2 linked regions of the Macaca mulatta genome follow. The protein of the gene in region 1 interacts with the protein of each later gene in a pairwise test. Links are inferred from orthologs where the notes say so. Each region holds a gene or a part of one and is shown on either strand. Other genes may lie near its edges.

What was found. The genes of interacting proteins can lie anywhere in the genome.
Region 2: the proteins of MAPK3 (region 1) and DCC interact in a two-hybrid assay, tested with the Homo sapiens proteins (2 studies listed by BioGRID). The link is inferred for Macaca mulatta from reciprocal best matches to the Homo sapiens genes MAPK3 and DCC.

What each region holds. Positions count from the first base shown.
Region 1 is NC_133425.1:28,438,540-28,448,994, reverse strand, and holds the end of MAPK3 (mitogen-activated protein kinase 3), read right to left. Parts: coding exon 10,451-10,455; intron 9,427-10,450; coding exon 9,244-9,426; intron 5,653-9,243; coding exon 5,463-5,652; intron 5,280-5,462; coding exon 5,163-5,279; intron 4,902-5,162; coding exon 4,787-4,901; intron 4,404-4,786; coding exon 4,272-4,403; intron 4,122-4,271; coding exon 4,012-4,121; intron 3,917-4,011; coding exon 3,794-3,916; 3' UTR 3,762-3,793; intron 1,834-3,761; 3' UTR 1,233-1,833; downstream 1-1,232. Other genes in the region: lysophospholipase D GDPD3, read right to left, coding at 141-183, 459-597.
Region 2 is NC_133423.1:39,504,307-39,514,783, reverse strand, and holds part of DCC (netrin receptor DCC), read left to right. Parts: intron 1-2,576; coding exon 2,577-2,897; intron 2,898-10,477. UniProt on the Homo sapiens protein: Receptor for netrin required for axon guidance. Mediates axon attraction of neuronal growth cones in the developing nervous system upon ligand binding. Its association with UNC5 proteins may trigger signaling for axon repulsion.

The DNA.
Region 1 (10,455 bases):
GAGTTCACAGCGGGATGTGCAGGCCACCTCCAGGGGGCGCCAGTCATCCGGTTAGGAAGTGAATGGTGTCCCTTGCTGTGATGCAGTGCACGACCTGCACACCCTCACATGACAGCCTGGGCAGGGGCAGATACACTCACTTCTCCATGGCCTCCATAGTGCTTTCCAGCAGCTCTCCAGATCCTGTGGGGGACACTGGAGTGGGCCCCTGAGGCTTGGGGTCTAGGGGCCTGGCCCGACCTCATCACCCACGTTCCTTCTCTGGGCACCATCCTCCCTCTGGCCTTACCTCCCCAGCCAGCCCAGGCTGCACCAGCCTCTTCTTCCTTGTCCATACCCTGCCCTGCCACCTTGCTCTCCTTCTCTCTTGGTCCCTGCCCTGTTTCTAGCACGCGCTCTTGGACCTACCCTTCTCTGCTGTCCACTTTGGCACCTGTTCTCACCCCCACCCGGCTCACCTCCTCGGTGGGCCGCCAGGCGGACGCGGAAGGTGGGAGCCCGGGGCGTGTGCAGCAGGTGAGGCCAGCGCAGGAAGAAGATGGAGAGCATGGCATAGCTGCCCAGGGCGGGAAGGGCATAGTACAGCGAAAGGCTCATGTCTGTACTCCCACAGAAGCTCCTGCAGCCGCACACTCAGCCGTCCGTGGGACTGTGCTGCCTGCCTAGCCGGTGTGGGCCGGCTCTACTACTGGCCACTGCCACGCCCGTGGGACCTGCTGAGCCTGCCGCTGGGCTGGCTTGGAGCCAGGCTGCAGGGTTCAGCTGAAGCCGGGGTAGTATCAGATGAGGCAAGCAGCCCTGGCCCTCACATCCCCAAGCCCTTCCCAGACCCCAGCATCCCCCTGTCCTGGGCCACATCGGGGGAGTAAAAACCACCCAGGATTGTTAGGACCTCTCCCTCCCACTGGTGCTTGTAGCCAGCGCATCCAACATGCCTACCCCTTGCAGTTTCAGAGGATCCAGGGATGTGTAGGGTGCTCCTGAATCACCCCCAACCAGTTAGACAGGAAGCCATTAGCGTGGGGACAGGACAGTGACTAAGGGGAAAATTGACCCCCTTCTTTCTAGGAGTCTGGAGCTCTCCAGAGCCCCGTCCCCAACCCTGGGCAGCTGGGAGTGAAGGGCACCAGGCCCCAGAAAGCCCAAGTCAAGCAGCAGCTGGGCTGCAGGAGTCTGTCCTCAGAGCTGCACGGGGCAGGGCGGAGGCGTCGCAAACACAGACAGAGCCAGGGTCAGCCATAGACACATCTCTATATTTATATATTAGATGGGTCAGGGAGGTGGCAGGGGCGCTGGGCTCTCCACGCCCCCCAGCTCCACTTCTGCTCACCACACACAGAAGCAGCGAGGGCACTCGAAGTGACAGCTTTGACGGGGAGGGGATTCAGCCCAGTCCGGCTCCTCGGGGATGCTAGCCCTTGAGACTAAGGAATGTTCCTTCAGGGAAGATAGGGTGGGGTTTAAATGAGATGAGGGGGGCAGGCCTGGCCCTGAGTCCCTACTCAGCGCCCCCCACCCTCCACCCCTGCCCCTCAGCAGGTCAGGGCAGCCAGAGCCCCTCCATTCTAGAACTGCCAGAGACTGGGACACTGGGGAAGGTAAGGGTGCAGCAGCAGCAGTGGGAGATTGAACTGGGGCCACCTGAGCCCCCGAGGTCCTGTGGGAAGGGCGGCTGGGGAGGAGGCCTTGGCCTGCCTAAAGCTGGAGGCCTCAGCAAAGGAGAGAGGTGGCCAGGCCCATGCTCCACCCTGGTCTGGGCTGCCAAGGTCTGGGCTCGGCACAGTGTCCATTTTCTAACAGTCCGGCGGGAGAGGGGCAGGCAGGAGGCAGGTCCTAAAGAGAGAAGCAGACAGAAAAGGAGTCATTAGCATACCCCAGGCAGACCCGCGGGAGCCCTGACCTGAACGTCTCTCACCCTCACAGCTGGATAGGCTGGGTCTCAGTTTCCTTATCTGTAAATGGAGATAATAATAGTACCTAGCTGGAGGTACTGCTGTAAGATTAAAGGAATTAAGACATGTAAACCTCTTAGAACAATGCTTAGGGTTTTATGCTTTCATTATTAGAACAGTCTCAGCTGGGCACAGTGGCTCATGCCTGTAATCCCAGCACTTTGAGAAGTCGAAGTGGGTGGGTCACTTGAGCCCAGGAGTTGGAGACTGGCCTGGGCAATATAGCAAGACCCCAACTTTAAAAAAAAAAAAAAAATTAGCCAGTTGCAATGGCTCGTCCAGCCAGCTGGGAGGATCCCTTGCGCCCCAGGAATTTGAGGCTGCATTGAGCTATGATTGCACCACTGCACTCCAGCCTGGGCGACAGAGTGAGACACTGTCTTAAAAAAACGAAAACAAAAAAAAGATAAATAGAACTGACTCCAGGAAACTGAGGTGCAGAGAGGTGAGGTGCCTTGCCCAATATCACACAGCACTTACTAAGTGGCACAGCTGGAGTTTGAGCCCAGGTATGCACGCCTTCTTCCTATTAGGCCACACCTGGCTGAAGACAGGAAGAGACCAGAGGAGGCAAGGAGGCAGTGTGGGTGGGGGCAGGCCCAGCAGGGTCCCCACAGCTATGTGAACTGCTGATCTGGCAGCAGGTGTGAGGAGGCCTGGCAATCTGGGTCAGGCTGGGTGCTGCTGGGCCCCTCCCAAAGCAATCATGGCCCCACCTGCTTCTGCCACACCCAGAGCCGAAGCCTGGGTGACAGGGCCCCTCAGTGACCTCTTGCCTCTTTACCAGTTCCGTTCCCAGAAGGAGATTAGAATGGCTGCTGGGGCTGGAGGATGCAGGGTGTTGACAGGTGGAGACATTTGGGGCTGGAGGACTGGGTGGGCCATGAGTCTGGGCAGCACTTGGGCATTTTTTTTTTTTTGAGATGGAGTCTTGCTCTGTAGTCCAGGCTGGAGTGCAGTGGTGTGATCTCAACTCACTGCAACCTCTGCCTCCTGGGTTCAAGCAATTCTCCTGCCTCAGCCTCCCAAGTAGCTGAGATTACAGGCACACGCCACCACACCTGGCTAATTTTTGTATTCTTAGTAGAGACGGGGTTTCACCATGTTGGCCAGGCTGGTCTCGAACTCTTGACCTCGTGATCCATCACCTTGGCCTCCCAAAGTGCTGGGCTTACAGATGTGAGCCACTGTGCCTGGCCCCCCCTTTTTTTTTTTGAAACAGAGTCTCACTGTTGCCCAGGCTGGCGTATAGTGGTGCAACCTCCGCCTCCCGGGTTCAAGCAATCCTCCCACCACAGCCTCCTGAGTAGCTGGGACTAGAAGCGCATGCCTACACACCCGGCTAATTTTAGTATTTTTAGTAGAGACAGGGTTTCACCACATTGGCCAGGCTGGTCTCGAACCCCTGACTTCAGGTGATACACTCGCCTCAGCCTCCCAAAGTGCTGGGATTACCAGAGTGACCCACTGTGCCTGGCTAATTTTTGTATTTTTAGTATAGATGGGATTTCGCCATGCTGGCCAGGCTGGTCTCAAACTCCTGACCCTCAGGTGATCCACTCATCTCAGTCTCAGTCTCCCAAAGTGCTGGGATTCCAGGCATGAGCCACTGCACCCAGCCCCCGGGCACTTCTGTTGTCACCAGACACACCGAGCATGGGTGCAGGGTAAGCTTGCTGCTATATGGAGGCACATACAAATACAGATATAGATATTGATATAGATACAGATACAGATAGAGATATAGATAGATATAGATACAGGTATTTAGTATCAGCGTATCTGTGTGCCGGCCATGGGGACACTCACCAGGCCCCAGGGTGCAGGGATGTCTGTCTGGGTTAGGGGGCCTCTAGCGCCCCAGGCTGGAAGCGTGCTGTCTCCTGGAAGATGAGCTCCTTCAGCCGCTCCTTAGGTAGGTCATCCAGCTCCATGGCGAAGGTGAAGGGCTCCTCGGCCACTGGCTGGGGTGGCAGAGACAGCAAGGCTCAGGCCTGGCATGGGGGATGCCTACTTACCCCCCTGCCCCTGGCCCTACTGCTGCTGGGGACTGGCCCACCTCATCCGTCGGGTCATAGTACTGCTCCAGGTAGGGGTGAGCCAGCGCTTCCTCCACTGTGATCCGTTTATTGGGGTTAAAGGTTAACATCCGGTCCAGCAGGTCAAGGGCTATAGAAGGGCAGGAGTCAGGGGTCACAGGGAAGACTGGAGAAGCTCCCAGAAGCATCACTTTGCCTGTCTCCTCCAGCTGCTGCTGGGCTCCCGTACCCTCCATGGCACCCAGGGTTTATCCCACACCCGTCCTCATGTCTCTCAAACCTTTGGAGTCTGACTTGGGGAAAAGCTTGGCCCAAGCCACCTTGGTCTTGGAGGGCAGAGACTGTAGGTAGTTTCGGGCCTTCATGTTGATGATACAATTCAGGTCCTCCTGGGATGGGGAGCCCAGGATGCCTGTGGATAAGGAGGTGACTTGGTAAATGATCACCTCCTTCTTTCTGGGAACAGAACAGGCAACAAGGCAAGAACAAGACCCCCAGCCCAGCAACCCATGCCAATCCCTCAGTTACCTCCTAGTCATTAGCAAGGTGGTGCAGAGCAAGGGGGCTGGATTCAGGCAGACCGAGGCTCAAATCCTAGGTCTGGTGCCTCCTTAGGTGTGGGACTTAGACTTGCTTTTCCCATCTATCCAATGGGGATAATATCTATACCTCATTGAGATACCATGAGATGCTGGAGGCGCCCCACACGTGGTGGTATCCCTGACTTGGACTCTTGAGAAATCTCACCTTGGAGAAGGTAATCATCCCCCACTCAGCCAGCCGGGCCTCCCTCACCCAGAATGTGGTTGAGCTGATCCAGGTAGTGCTTGCCAGGGAAGATGGGCCGGTTAGAGAGCATCTCAGCCAGAATGCAGCCCACAGACCAGATGTCGATGGACTTGGTATAGCCCTGGGAGAGAGGAGGAAGTGGTGGGCTCCTGGGCCAGCCTCAACAGGGTCCTGTTTCTACACCAAGCCACCATCTCCAAGTTAGATCCAACACCAGGCAGAAGGCAGAGGCCTGGAGGGCTCAATGCTCAGCTTCCTTGCAGAGCCCAAGGCCCAGAGGGTGGAATTCCTGTGTCATGGGGGTCGGTGTCTGGCTCGGAGGTAGCTCCAGGGCTTCCTGGGACCTGGTCCCTTCCCTTCAGGAGTGGGCAGCCCCTCCTACCTTGGAGTTCAGCATGATCTCTGGGGCCCGGTACCAGCGTGTAGCCACATACTCCGTCAGGAAGCCGGTGTGGTCATGCTCAGGATCGGCAATCCGGGCCAGGCCGAAATCGCAAATCTGGAATCAGACCAAGCTGCTAAGCTCAGTGCTCAAGGCCTCTGCAGCTTAAGCAGTCACGCCCCCTTGTCTTTGCCTCCACTGTTCCCCTTGCTTGCAATGTTCTCCTGCCCAAGGCTTCTACTGGTCACCTGGAAGCCCCAGACCCTGGGGGAAGAGGGGACAGGTGCCCAACCCTCTGACCTTAAGGTCGCAGGTGGTGTTGATGAGCAGGTTGGAGGGCTTTAGATCCCGGTGGAGCACATTAGCGGAGTGGATGTACTTGAGGCCCCGCAGGATCTGGTAGAGGAAGTAGCAGATGTGGTCATTGCTCAGTTGCTGGCTTTTCAGCAACTTGTACAGGTCAGTCTCCATCAGGTCCTGCACAATGTAGCTGAGGATGGTTCCGGAGACCCCCGGGGAGGGGGCAGCGGGAGGCACTTGGTTAAGGAAAACAGGCTCTGAAGGCGAGGCTGCACATCTCCTCCAGCCAGGGCCCCTGGGACTCAATAGATCTGCCAACCTGCACCACCAGCTGGGCAAGCTGCTGCCGTTACCCAGCGGCAGGGCTCTGAGCCTCTGTCGCGTCACAGTTGCTGATCCTGAGCAAGGGGCTTCACTTCTGTGGCCTCAGTTTCCCTACCGGGGAAACAGGGATAATAATAAACTGTGGGAGGCCGGAGAACTTCACAGTTAAGAGCAGCAACTTGGGCCAGGAGTGGTGGGTCATGCCTGTAATCCCAGCACTTTGGGAGGCTGAGGCGGGAGGATCGCTTGAGGCCAGGAGTTTGAGACCACCAGCCTGGGCAACATGGCAAAACTCTGTCTCTACTGGTAATACCAAAATTAACTGGGGACAGTGGCATGTGCCTGTAATCCCAGCTACTCGGGAGGCTGCAACACGAGAATCACTTGAACCCGGGAGACAGATGTAGTGAGCCGAGATCATGTCACTGTACTCCAGCCTGGATGATAGAGTGAGACTCTGTTTCAAAAATAAATAAATAAATTAATTAAAAAAAGAAAACTACAAAAAGAGCAGCAACTCTGGACTTAACCCATGGAAGTCTGAAATCTCCTCTCTACTACTTACTGGCTTTAGGAGCTCAACCTGTCTGTGCCTCAACTTTCTCATCTGGTATGTAGGGGAAATAATGTGTTTTTTGTTTGTTTGTTTTCTTTTTATTTTATTTATTTATTTTTTTGAGACGGAGTCTCGCTCTGTCACCCAGGCTGGAGTGCAGTGGCCGGATCTCAGATCACTGCAAGCTCCGCCTCCCGGGTTCACGCCATTCCCCTGCCTCAGCCTCCCGAGTAGCTGGGACTACAGGCGCCCGCCACCTTGCCCGGCTAAGTTTTTTGTATTTTTAGTAGAGACGGGGTTTCACCGTGTTAGCCAGGATGGTCTCGATCTCCTGACCTTGTGATCCGCCCGTCTCGGCCTCCCAAAGTGCTGGGATTACAGGCTTGAGCCACCGCGCCCGGCCTGTTTGTTTTCTTTTTGTGGAGACGGGCTATTGCTATGTTGCCCAGGCAGGTCTTGAACTCATGGGTTCAAGTGTTCCTTCCACCTCGGCCTCCCAAAGTGCTGGAAATTACAGGTGCGAGCCATGAAATAATGGTTCTTTTGAGGGTGGTTGTGAAGACTAGATGAGATGGCGCATGTAAAACTGTCAGCCCAGTGCTAGGCAAGTTGTGAGTGCTAGGCAAACATGAACTATTATTACTAATATCAATGCCTGAGTCACATGGCTGTTGAGGGAGTTAAATGAGATAATGTATGAACACCATCTGGCATGCAATAAATGTTTGCTTAAAAATAAATGCCTGCCTTATGGGAATGGTTTGCGCAAGAAAAATGAGGAGACACTCCCAATAGCACACTCCCACTCAAAGAAGAGTGCTTGGCCATACCTCAGAAGATGGAGGAGTAAAATGTCTTTTTCTATTTGAAGATAAAACAAAGCTTATGCGTAAATAAATAAATAAATCCACAAATGCCGTTTGGCTTGTCTCTGGAAAAATAAGTCAGGGCTGTCTTTTAGAATCTGCCTTGAGGCCAGGTGCAGTGGCTCACACCTGTAATCCCAGCACTTCAGGAGGCCAAGATGGGTTGAAGACCTGAGGTCAGGGGTTCGAGGCCAGCCTGGCCAACAGGGCAAAACCCTGTCTCTACTGAAAATACAAAAATTATCTGGGCGTGGTGGCGGGCGCCTGTAGTCCCAGCTACTTGGAAGGCTGAGGCAGGAGAATAGCTTGAACCTGGGAGGTGGAGGTTGCCGTGAGCTGAGATCCAGCCACTGCACTCCAGCCTGGGTGACAGAGGGAGACTCCATCTCAAAAAGGAAAAAAAAGAAAATAAGAATCTGCCTTGAAAGGGTCTTCAGAGGATATGTGGACCAGCCCTGCTGTTTTAGAGCTGGGGAGGCCCAGTGAGACGCAGTGACTTGCTTCAGACCACACAGCGAGATGGGGGTGAGCACAGAGATTTCCTGTCCACAGTTTGTGGTGGGGGCTGCAGACACCGCAATACAAATCCCCGCTCTTGGGTGGAGGGCTGGGACTGAGAGTGGGTGGGTGGGGTAGGGAAGAGGTGACAGGTGTCACAAGTTGCTAAGGAGAGCCAGACAGGAAGTGGACAGCAAACTAGGAAAGCAGTATCAGGGGAGGACAACAAAGGCTAGGCTGTCCCTCCCTGGGCAAGGTGCAAGTCCACAGGTGATTAGGGTGTGGCTCTGAGTGAGAAGTCCTAAGAAGGACAAGTTTCCATCTGGGGGAGGGGAGGAGGAGACAGCAACAGAAACACTTGATTTTAGGTTTTCTGGGCCTCAGCTTCTTCATTTTTTTTTTTTTTTTTTTGAGACAGGGTCGCGTTCTGTCCCCCAGGCTGGAGTGCAGTAGCACAATCATAGCTCATTGCAGCCTTGAACTCCTGTGCTCAAGCCATCCTCCTGCCTCAGCATCCCAAGTAGCTGGGACTACAGTCATGCACCACCAAAGCTGGATAATTTTTAAATTTTTTGTAGAGATGGGGTCTCACTATGCTGCCCAGGCTGGTCTTGAACTCCCAGCCTCCACTGATCCTCTGGTCTTGGCCTCTAAAGTGTTGGAACTACAGACGTAAGCCATTGCACTCTGCCCTCATCTTTGAAATGAAGCTGCAAAGCCTATCTCATAGGGTAGTTGGGAGGTGTAATAGAAAAAAAAAAAAAAAGCATTGGGCATGTATAGTACCTGACACGCAGTAGGACCTCAAGAAAGGCAGTTTTTTTGTTTTTGTTTTGTTTTGAGACAGAGTCTCACGCTGTTACCCAGGCTGGAGGGCAGTGGCACGATCTTGGCTCACTGCAACCTCCGCCTCCTGGGTTCAAGCGATTCTCTTGCCTCTGCCTCCCAAGTAGCTGGGATTACAGGCATGCGCCACCACGCCCTGCTAATTTTTTTGTACTTTTAGTAGAGATAGGGTTTAACCATGTTGGCCAGGCTGGTCTCCAACTCCTGGCCTCAGGTAATCTGCCCACCTCAGCCTCCCAAAGTGCTGGGATTACAGGCATAAGCCACCATGCCCAGCTGACAGTTTGCTTTCTCCCTGTCTCCCTTCCAGTCTGGGGAAGGAGGAAAGAGAGGAAAGAACCATCCATTTGTTAGCAAGAAGTGACTGTGGGCAGAAGCTGGGTCATGTCTCAGAACTGCCGATGTCAGAAGACAACACTCCCATAGAGACCATCCTGTCTAGCCCTCCCCCTTGGGGCACAGAGCAGAGAACTGACTTGCTCAAGGCCATATTGCCCGGCTGCAGCAGGCCTGGGTTCATCAGAGGCCTCTAAGTCCTGTTACACTGTGGCTTCTCCTCTGCAGGAAAGTTTATTTTACTGGGTTTGTTTTGGAGGGTGGTGGGTAAGATGGAAACAGAAAGCAAGCAACGGGTCCCCAGCCCAGCTCCGAGGCTGTGTATGACCAGCCGACTGGGCAAGGTGAAGGATACACATCCCTCATGGCTTCCAGGGTGGACGCACGCAGAATGTCTCGGATGCCGATGACATTCTCATGGCGGAAGCGCAGCAGGATCTGGATCTCCCGGAGCGTGCGCTGGCAGTAGGTCTGATGCTCGAAGGGGCTGATCTTCTTGATGGCCACGCGAGTCTTGCGCACGTGGTCATAGGCCGAGCTGAGGGGACCGGAGAGAGGCTGCTGCTGTGGCCTTACAAAGGGGGAGTCCGGGCCTGGTGGCCCCACCCAGGCCTTGGCAGGGAGGGGAGAGAGCAGGAGCTGGCTCTGGTCAAATCATAAACAATGCTGGTTCCTTCCTGCTGTGTAGGGCTGGGATCTCCAGAGAGAAAGCTGGGGACCAGCCAGGCGGCCCTTCGGTGACTTTACAAACAGAGGAAGAGACTGACCGCTCACTGACTTCCCCTCTCCTCAATCCCCTTCCATTCTACTGGCCCTGAACCCTTCGCCCCCATTCCCAGGAAAGGTTCCTTAACCCAAGACAGGTCCGGGGGTGCAGATGCTGGGGGCACACCATGGAGCAAATACTGGGAAAACGGCAGCCAGGGGAGGGGCAGGAGAGAATGGACAGGGCAGGGGCGGGTCCTAGGGTGAGGGAAGCGGGCAGCAGGGCTGTCCCAGAGCTCACGGTGGGGCCGGGGGCACTCACAGACCCCTCCCAAAACATGCAAGTGGCACTCCTGGCCCCCTCATCTCTCTTTGGGCACCTGGTGGTGGTGGTGGTGGGGCCAAAGCCCTGCCCCACCCTGATCTCGGCTCGTCTACCCCAGGCTCCCTGGCACTGCCTCACAGGGGGAATCCAAAACACCCTTTCCCCCAAAACGGGCCCTCCACTGCCTCTTCACTAAGGATGTCGCCTCCCCGAGAGTACTCATCCTCTGGGCCTCGCCCCGTGTCACTAGGGTCCCCGCGGGCCCCCACATGCACTCAGATGCCCCTCCCATCATTACAGAAGGGTGGACTCAAAGCCTCCAAGCCCCCTCCCCTGAGGACGCAGGCAGCGCCCTCTCCCCTAGAAAGCACTCAGGGGTCCCCTCCCTGGGACGCTCCCGATCATCCCGAGTCCCCTGCCTCCTCGGGACGCTCCGCGTCTCCACGTCCCGGAAAGCGCTCGGCGCCTCCCCCTCCTCTCCTGTGAAGCCCCCTCCCCTGAGGGCGCCCCCTCCCCCGGAACGCCCCCTCACCTGAC
Region 2 (10,477 bases), on another chromosome or scaffold:
CTTCTATAAAACTAATCACTAATGCAAGCTACTTAAAGCAGTGAGGTGCCTATATCCCAAAGCCATACATTCAAAATATAATTGTTATAAAGAGTACAAAAAGCTCAAATTGCCAGTGAACTGCAAGGGTAATTGTGTTAAAGAAAAGTTGATCTATGTACTCACAGCACTGAAAACTGTCATAACCTCCTTGTTTCAGACTAAGTGGATTGTTTATGTGTGATAATGGGCACATATGCTCATTAACATGCTGTCATAAACAGCTGTGTTAAATGTATTATGTGTTCTGTGACATAAATAAGGTGCTCAACGTGAGGTTGTGTTTAAAATATAGGCCCCAGGAAGAACAAAAAAGCAATAAATGCTTTCTAATATAGTTGCCTGGTCTTGAATTTCAAATTTATTTCTTCTTTATTAATGCTACTTGTATGGAAATTGTGGGTATTACTCTAGTGAAATATCTTGGCATTCAAGGACATTAGAACTTCTTTCTGCTGTCTCATCTTTAGTGTTTCTCAGGCCAGGTTTGCTAGCTTGTGATTCTTTTCTGGTAGAGGAAGAGATCATGTAGACATGGGAAAGGTATTTTCAGCAAAATCAGTCTGCATTGATTCAGCAAGCTTAGAGCAAGGCTCATTTGACAGATGCTCTCACCCAATCTTGTTTTGAAAGCCTCCACACTAGATATTGAACTTAGAGATCATCTAGTTCAACTTCTTAATTTTTGCAGATGAGGGAACTGAGTTTCTGAGGACTTAAAAGACCTTTCTGAGTCATGAATTTTGAAGTGACAAAGCCAAGACCTAAGGCTAGATATCCGGACACCCCATTCAACATACTTCCCACTAGAAGAACAGGATGTACTATAATTGGGTTGGCTATGCCAAAAGGATCTGTGGGGAGAAGGAGCTTATTTGAAAATAAAGACACCAGCCTGCTGTCATCTGGGATGTTCATCAATATCTACAGTAGAGTTATGTGCTCACCATTATTTTACAATTTATATTAATTCAAACTAAGTTCCAGATGCTTTCTGAGTTAGTGGCCAAGGTGAAAGGAATGAGTATATGACAGTGAATGACACAAGACATCATTTGGCAAAATAACAGACTTCAAACATAAGTTTTAGAAAAAATGAGTATGCAGGAATGAAGCAAATAAAACCAGGGAGAAACTGTGAGAAGCTGTTCTGCCTTCTCTTCACTGGAAAATAGGGTGTACAAAGATAGAAATAGTTTCTGTCCATCAGAAGAGTATGAGCTAATCCCTTATGAGAATATGGATTACCTGCAATTTAGATGCTTGCCTTTTAAATGACAGAAGAATGGAATGATTTTACGAAGTACAACTAAAAGTGTTCCCATTACAGAAAAATTAAGGAAGCTAATGAAGTCGAGGTTGCTATGCTGAAAAAAAAAAAAAAAAAAAAAAAAGAAGACTAAAACATAATTTAGGTGGTATTTTTTAAGAAATGAAATGCTGTTTCAAACAAATAAAGGGATCTTAAAGAAAATGGCCATCTCTTATGCATTTTCACACAAGGTGTTTCAGAAGAAAATGGGATTAAACATCAGCAAGAAAATTCAGTTAGACTCTTTAAATGATTAAATATTGAAAACAAGATACCAAGGGACATTGTAGAATCTCTAGCCTCTAAGATTGTGCAAAATGAAATTGAAAGTAATTTGACTTGAATGATTTAAGCATACACCTGTCTGAGCAAATGGTGGAGCCAATGACCTCCTGAAACCTTGTCAAGGTCTTTGACTCATCATGTGAGTATTCTGTCAAATGCTATGCTGCCAGCTTCGATAACAATATACTTTAACTAATTATACTTGCTCCCTCCCCTCAAGATTCTTAAATGACTTTCTCTTACCTCGTTGATTATTTATGTTCATTTATGTTTATGAAAAAATTTCAACTGTTATATTTATTTAGATTTCCAAGTCCATGAGAAACATTTGGATGAAAATTAAGACCCTTCAGGGATTTGTGATTTTAGGTAGTGACTTTATTGACTTGCTTCTGCCAGTGGGATTTACCTATTTTAAAACCCAGCTGAGCTTTGTCCTAAAGAACTTTACCCATGCTGTTCAGAGTTGACTTTTATTCTTACAGAACACTGTATCTGATTGGATATTTTAAAAGTTTCAATGGATGCCATAATCAGAATGCAGAGATAGAAATAGTCTCCCCCCAAATCTTAGCTACCACACTAATAACTATTGCTACTTTAAAATATCTAGTTTTATTTGGAAAATATTAGTTTTTTTCTGCTTAAATTTTCATGTACTGACTGATAGGTGGTAATAAGCATGCCAGAATTTATATGAATTTGCAATTTCTCATAGTATTAAATTTTGGAACCAATTGTTTTCTTAATTGCCATTACCTCGACTGGGTACTTTTTTACTTATTTAACATAATATCCTTGATTTTAGTTTTTATTTATTTTTGGACATTTTTCAAAGCCCTCAGCTTTTGTGAAAAGCTTTGTAAAGAAAAGAAAGGGAATCTAAGCCTGAGATTTATTTGAATACATGAACATATTTCCCTTTGCTCTCTTGTTCCAGGTTTTCAAATTAAAGCTTTCACAGCACTGCGCTTCCTCTCAGAACCTTCTGATGCCGTCACAATGCGGGGAGGAAATGTCCTCCTCGACTGCTCTGCAGAGTCTGACCGAGGAGTTCCAGTGATCAAGTGGAAGAAAGATGGCATCCATCTAGCCTTGGGAATGGACGAAAGGAAGCAGCAACTTTCAAATGGGTCTCTGTTGATACAAAACATACTTCATTCCAGACACCACAAGCCAGATGAGGGACTTTACCAATGTGAGGCATCTTTAGGAGATTCTGGCTCAATTATCAGTCGGACAGCAAAAGTTGCAGTAGCAGGTAAGTGGATTCTTCCTTCTCTTCCTCCTCCTCCTTCCTCTCTTCTTCTTATTCTTTTTTGGGGATAAGAAAATAATTTTTGTAGAAATAATGTACATTTTTTAAATGTTTTAAATTTTAAATTGACAAATAATTATATATTTTTATGAAGTACAATGTCATGTTTTGATGTATGTATCCATCGTGGAGTGATTATATCAAGCAAATTAACATATCTGTCACCACATACTTACCTCTTTTCTGTGGTGAGAGCATTTTAAGTCTACTCTTTTAGCAATTTTGATGTATACTACGTTGTGCAATAGATATTAAAAGCTTATTTCTTCTCTCTAACTGAAACCTTGTGCCCTTTGACAAACATATTTCCATTCCTTACCACGCCCCATCTTCCCAAGCCTTTGGTAACCATTCTGCTCTCTAGTTCTATGAGTCTATCTTTTTTATAATAGATTCTACCTGTAAGTGAGATCATGCAGTATTTTTCTTTCAGTGCCTGGCATCCCGTTTCCCTTAGCATAATATCCTGTCGGTTCATCTATGTTATCACAAATAACAGGATTTACTCTTTTTTAAGGCTGAATAGTATTCCATTGTATGTATGTATATATATTATCATACACACACACACACACATATATATATAAAATATTTTCTTTACCCATTCACCCATTCATGATTGATTCCACATCTTGGCTCTTGTGAATAATGCTGCAATTAACACGAAGTATAGATATCTCTTATACACCCTCATTTCAATTCCTTTGGATATATACCCATAAGTGGGATTGGTGTATCATATGGTAATTCTAATTCTAGTTTTTTGAGAAAGCTACATAACCATTTTTCATAATGGCTGTCTAATTTACATTTTCACCAACAATGCACACTTTTAAGAAAAAGGAAAGATGAAAAAAGATTCATGTTTATTCTCTCATGGTTTTGACGAACCTTTCTCCTTAAATTAGCTTAGAAAACAGTCATAGGACCTGAACTGGCTGCATAATGTTATGAGATTTTTTTTAAACAAAACTTTCAAGTTGACTTACTACTTATATCTAAGGGAGGACTTCTTAATAGAAAAATATTAGAAAAAAATAATTTTCTAATTCTACTTTACAGCTTCATTAAATGCGAAACTTTTGCAGAGTCAATTTTTTCGTTGTTGTGCCTTAAGAAGAGTAAATTTTATTTTAATTATAGTGGCATGGCCTACAACATATACATCTCAAGTGAGAAATAAAAATTGCTTCCAGTGCTTCCAAATTTCTTAATACTTGGTAACATGTTGGCTCAATAGCTGAGTAATAATATGAACAGTTTTTGTTTTCACCTGGATACACTGAAGTCATGTAGACCCTGAAAAAATGGTACTGACCATTCTGGAATCCATGATATTGCTATTTCTGCCCCACTCTTCTGGTTAGAAGGCAGCTCATAATTATTTCTGTTGGCCCCTGAAATGTTAGACCTGCAAAGAGAAGAATCAGTTTTTTCACTTGTTACTATAATGATTTCACCAAAACCTGGTGTTTTTTTTTTTTTTTTTAACTTTTGTATTGACCATAAAGCAAGGTAAGCAGATCCAACTTGAAATAAATTTAAGTTATGAATGGGTAAGCAGATTTGAAGGGCTGCTTTCAACGTAATCTTTAGTTCTCAGTAAAAACAAAATTGAATCATAGGCTGTTTAGTCATTTGTGGTAGGCTTTCTTTCCCAGGCCCTACTTAGTCTAGTCTCATCTTGGAAGACAGATCAGAATGATAACTCATTTTCATCAATAACAGGACAATTGGGCAGAACCACCACTCCCTCATGCACTCTCCTAGTGAGGGTTTGAGAAAGTTCAATCTGAAAGAGGTGATTTTGTCAGGCGGTGCTGTGAAGAATTACATCTCATAGAAATGTGGTTAATCCCCATATCTAGCTTCAAATTACTCTTCTGTAGCTTCTTTTCTCTACTAAGAACTCTGCAGACTGAATGTTTTGTCTCCCTAAAATGTGTATATTGAAATTCTAACCCCCAATGTGATCGTATTGGGAGGTGGAGACTTTGAGAGATAATTAGATCATGAGGGTGGAGTCCTCATGAATGTGATTAGTGCCCTTATAAAAGGAACCACAGAATACCCCTGCTCCTTTCACCATGTAAGGATGCAATGAGACATCTGTAATCTGCAACCCAGAAGAGGACCCTCATCAGAAACCAGTCATGCTGGCACCCTAATCTTAGGTTTCCAGCCTCCAGAACTTTGAAAAATCAATGTCTGTTGTTTACAGGCTACCCAGTACATGATACTTTGTGAAAGCCACCCAAACTGATGAAGGCAAAGTTTTCCATAGTCAGTTAAGCCAGATTTTACCTAAAGGTAGACTGGCTAGCCATTCTGCTTTTCTTTGGACTGACCTGATTTTTGCACTTGAAAGTCCTGTATCCTGGGAAGCCACTTGAGTGCCAGGTAAAACCAGGACAGTGGGTCACTCTACCTCGAGGTGTCCCTGGTCTGCTTTAGCAATGATAGACTGAGGTGCAGATGCAGAACACCCCCTCTACTCAGGAGACAGGCCAGGTGACATCCTGATCATGAAAATCAAGGCTATAAAGTAACTGGAACCTTGGAGTGATGGGTGTCTGAAATTTGATTGATGAGCATAAAGTGTAGAGAGAACTGAATGTTAATGTTAATTATGATTGATTAGGAGAAACAAGTGGAATAAATGCTGCAGATTTGGCAAAAGCAGCTTTCTCAGAATGCTCCAAATAAAGTGGAAAGGGGACAATTTGACTTTCAGTCACTAGAGAATTTCTGCCCTCATAAATCCCACCCATCAGTTGTCCACAAGGCGAAAGAAGGTCTACTGATTTGAATGAAGCAGGCTAGTATTTGATGCCTTATTACAAAAGGCAGTTGCCTATGCACTGTTAATGAAAATGGCCTTTCATTAACTGCATTCATGTTACGTTGCAGTTTCAGTCTTCGTGCAATCTACATTCACGTTCACATGTTCTGTCTTTCAGTAGTGAACTGAAGAACAATTCCTTCTCTGTGAGATATTAATATACAGTGGCTTGGTCTTTAGTATTCTGTACAAGGATAGGTGCATGGATTCAGTCACTGAGTTACAATCTCATATTAGATTGTATCATTTCAAAGCAATAAGGCTGTTCACAGCATTTTAAACCATGCTGTTTGGCAACACAGAATACATTAATGTTATGTCTGCTGAGGTTAAGATTGCCAAACCACTAGAATTCACAAGGGGCATATATCTTCCTAGTAATAAAGACCATGGACCTGATTTAATCTCATTTTTAAAGCATTAGCAGTCAAAAAACCAGTCACCACTAAATGGTAACAGTAGGCTTTGCTTGGGTAAAACAAAACAAAAAAAATGTTTTGTACTCTCAGGTGCTGTATAGAGCCCATATTAAATAATGTCCCTCTTCCATTTTTGCTTTCTCAAAGTGTCTTTTGATAAAAAGAAGTATAGCAAATTAAATCTGTCTTTAATCAGTCAGCATATTTTACACAATGATCTTGCCATGCACCATTCATCCTATTTTCTAGGAGCTTCTCAAGTGCTCTTTAAGACTTGAGTGCACACTTGGCTGGAGAGGGAAGGAGAGTAGGAAAGATAAACGAAGAAGTATCATTCCATCCAGCATTTTGTTAAAAATTGCAATGTAACAGGCTACTGACTATCAGTATTTCTACTCATTTTGAGTTCTATCAGTAAAGAATGCCTGGGCTATTAAATCTTCATTTGAAAGCAACTTCATCACACTGACTGAAATTTGGGAATTTTATTTTTATCCAATTAGCTCTAATCTAAAATGCTGCAGTGTTTCTGTGCCATGTATACTTCTATTTAGTCCTTTAGATTGAGAACAGCTGAAGAAGGGAAGCAGCACTGAACTTATCTATGATGCTTTCCTACCATCCTCTCTGCTATGTGTCTAGCAAAGTATGTCATGTTAATAGTAGACATTTGCCTTACCAATGAAGTCACGGGGCTTTATGCCATATAAAGAGAACTTTCCGCTGTTGCCATCCTCCTGTCTACCTCTCCTTCTCTTGTCTCCCTTCTATTTCTCCTCCTGCTTCACTGGATTTCTGCAGATTAAACTCACCCATATATGTGCATACATAAACATACTCTTGATAAACTGAGTTGGAATAATTTGCTTTATGTATCAATAGTATACAAATTAATTAACTATTGAAAACTTTGTGATTAGAAAATTGACTGTTTGGGAATATTCAAGTGCCACTTAAAAAGGAAAAAGCATGAGCATTTCTTCATTCCTTCCCTAACCTTTACCGTGAAAATGAACTTGCATCTGGCCAAGCACATCCTCCCTACTCTAGATGTTCCCAGATATCTGAGCCTCTGGATTTTCTTCTGTTCAGCAGACATAATAATAACCTACCTCCCAAGACTGTGGTAATTTTCAAACAACATGTAGGATGTAAAGCTCTAGTGCAGAGTAGATTCTTATTCAATGACAGCCGTAGTATAAAGAGACCTAACAATGATTATTATTGCGTTATTTTAATAAGTATTATTAGGAATGAACAACTTTCAATATTCCCATGTAATGATGCAAAATATGTTTTTTCAGGGTGATGAAAAATAGGCAACAAATCCTAAGACATACATATTGTAATCTTGGATCAGATATCTGCCTTTGCAATCTGTGAATACAAACTGGCAAGCCTGAATTGAGTTTTCAAAAAGTTAAATCTATGGAGATTTTTTGGCAAGCAGTGACCAAATCCCTTGGAATAAAGGATTCATTTTTGACCAGTGGATCTACTATTATGTTAATGTAATCAATACAGTTTGTACTGACCAGAGCAGGCGTTTGAGATTGAGCAACCTTGCAATCATTTCAGAAACAGGTGCAGGGCACTCCCCTCTACCTTTTTTAATGACTTTCCAACTGAAAAAGATTCACTGAAGCTGGTTCATGGGAGTTCACTTGGTCTCAACTTGGAGTTTAACACAACTGGTACCCTCCTGGGGATGAGGGATTAACTCCAATATGTAAGAAGACTAGATAACAACAGATTTCCTATGAATAAGCATAAACATCCCATTTTATTTTGTTTTTTAATACAACCATGACCACCTGTCCACCCATCCCCACACCTACCCGCCCACACAGCTCCTTGTCCACTGACTTGCCCTGCACGCTCTGAGGAGCACAGTTGGAGCCTAACTGGTACTTCTGTTTGCATTTATACTTCTGGGGATGGCGTAGGACAGGCTCCTCCAAGGGTAAAGCAATGCTGACTGCTGGATACATTATAGTGTATTAGTGTATTTGTGTCCAGGTAGATTTGTCTTTGTTAATTTTTGAACATTTATATCTTAGTATTAAAACCACTGACTTGCTTTTTATAGCAGTTTCTGCTTCAGAAAGTGAATCTGTATACAGTACCTGGTAATGCTCGGAAACAGTCTGTGAGATAAATACCCAAATTGACAGGTTAAGAACTTACTGGAAAAAGCTAAGAGCTCTATGGCCAGAGACTGGGACTTAGTCTAAATCCAGATGCACACTTATTCCCTTATCACTTTGCTTCTCAATCTAAGGACTATATTTCAGAACTCTGTAAACAATTTCTTATGTAATCAGTCATTTATTTTTAATCAATGAAATTCTCCACAATACAAATTAAAGAAGATAACAATAATGGTAATAATGATAATAATAATGAAAATCGATTTATCCATTTAGTGCCTTGAAAATGTCAACTCCTTTTGGGAAACACTATGATTTAGATGTTTTCTTCTAAGATGAGAAGATTTTGCTATCATAGCTATACATTCAATAGTGACACATGACAAATCTGTGTCAGAAAAACAGACAGCATATAATTTTTAAAATAAGCTCATAAATAATGGTCTTCTAGGAACACAATTTGGTGATCTTTTATCTTTCTATGTGGTTTTACAATTCAGGCCAAGTTTCCATATTTTTTTTCCTGCTTCTTAAAAATCAAGAAAATAAAAGGCCAACTAAATTGCATTTACTTGAGTTATTATTTCATTCAGGGACATATTTTTTCTTTCCTATTACAATAGATGTTCAAGATGCAAATTGTCACACTCCGCTTTTAAATAACACCGGCATTATAATTAAAATTCCCCTGTGTTTTAAAAAAATAATTAGTTACTTGAGGAGTTGTTTCAGTGAATTCTTTTCTAGAATGCCTCCCATTTAAATGAGTTATGAAATAATTAGTGAAAGTATATTATGGTTAGAGAAGCTAGAATGAAGCATTTTGTGAAATGATAACCTGACCTTTATGTTCTTACTTAAAAGAAGCTGAAAAAAACCTTAACTGAAGAGAAGGAAGAATAAACCACATTGCCTCAGGTCACTCAAATGTTATATAAAGGAAACAGCAAGAAAAATGTTCATATTCCTTCTCTCTACAGGAGCAAATATAAGAATTTTGCCTAGAAGGTCAACTTCATCCTGTGTAGCAGTTTGGAAAATGTATCCCAGGGCCCTTGAATACGCTCAGAATTCTATTTGGGAAGGTTCGGTTACAGCGCAGAGATTTCCATTTTACATTTATAGAGATATTATTTATTTTCAAATAATAAGCAGAAAATTAAATTGCTCTGACTCCATAATTCTTAATGACTTAATGATCTTCATTTAGCTAAATGTTCCTATTGTTTTGTAGTTAAAGCATGAGAGAAAGAAAAAATAAGAAGTAAATGTGGTCTTATAAGTAACTGCTGTATGTTTACTAATCTTATCATTTTTCTTTAATTTTATTGCTAAATCAAACTGAGATACAGTCATCACTAATATTTCCCCAATGCCTATTCCATCACACAGCCCCCACACCCTCAACTTAAATAATTGCATTTTAGAGAGTAAGGTTTTAGTTGCCTTCTTCCTAAGTCAATTAACTTTGCAATAAAATTAAAATAGAAATATAATCCTGAAAAATATGCAGAGTGAAAAGACATCTTCTACATTATAAAATTTACAATAGAGAACTTGACAAGGCTTTTTATAGTAGAAACATCAACAAAATAACCTAAAAAAAATTCCAACCTTTCATTTCCTTTTCTTTGTTATGAATTCTAATTCATGTGACAATAGAAATAGCTAATTATTCATTCTAAATTTAATCAGTATCTTAAGAGCTCTGTTCTTTTATTCAACTCTTAAGCTATCTACAGTTTGATTTTTGCTGGTACTGTAATGAAAATGCACGAGAAACATCTAACACAACTCAGTAACCAAAAACTCTTTTGAATTTTAGAAAACGTTTTTGGAATATAAAAATTCAAGTTTCTTGAAAAATGTCAAGATAAAAAAGATTCAAATCATAGTAATGTGAGAGAAAATAATGTAATATCTTTTCCTTTACATCACAAGGAAAATATATTACACTATTAACCTTGCTAATCTGTTTAACAAAACACAGATTTACAAGAAAAAAGCATAACAAATTTATTTAAACAAAGTTATACACAAGTAACTTGCAGAAATGAAGACCCAAAGACCTAGGGAAAGCTTCATATTTTTATGCTAAGTCTTACAAGAGAA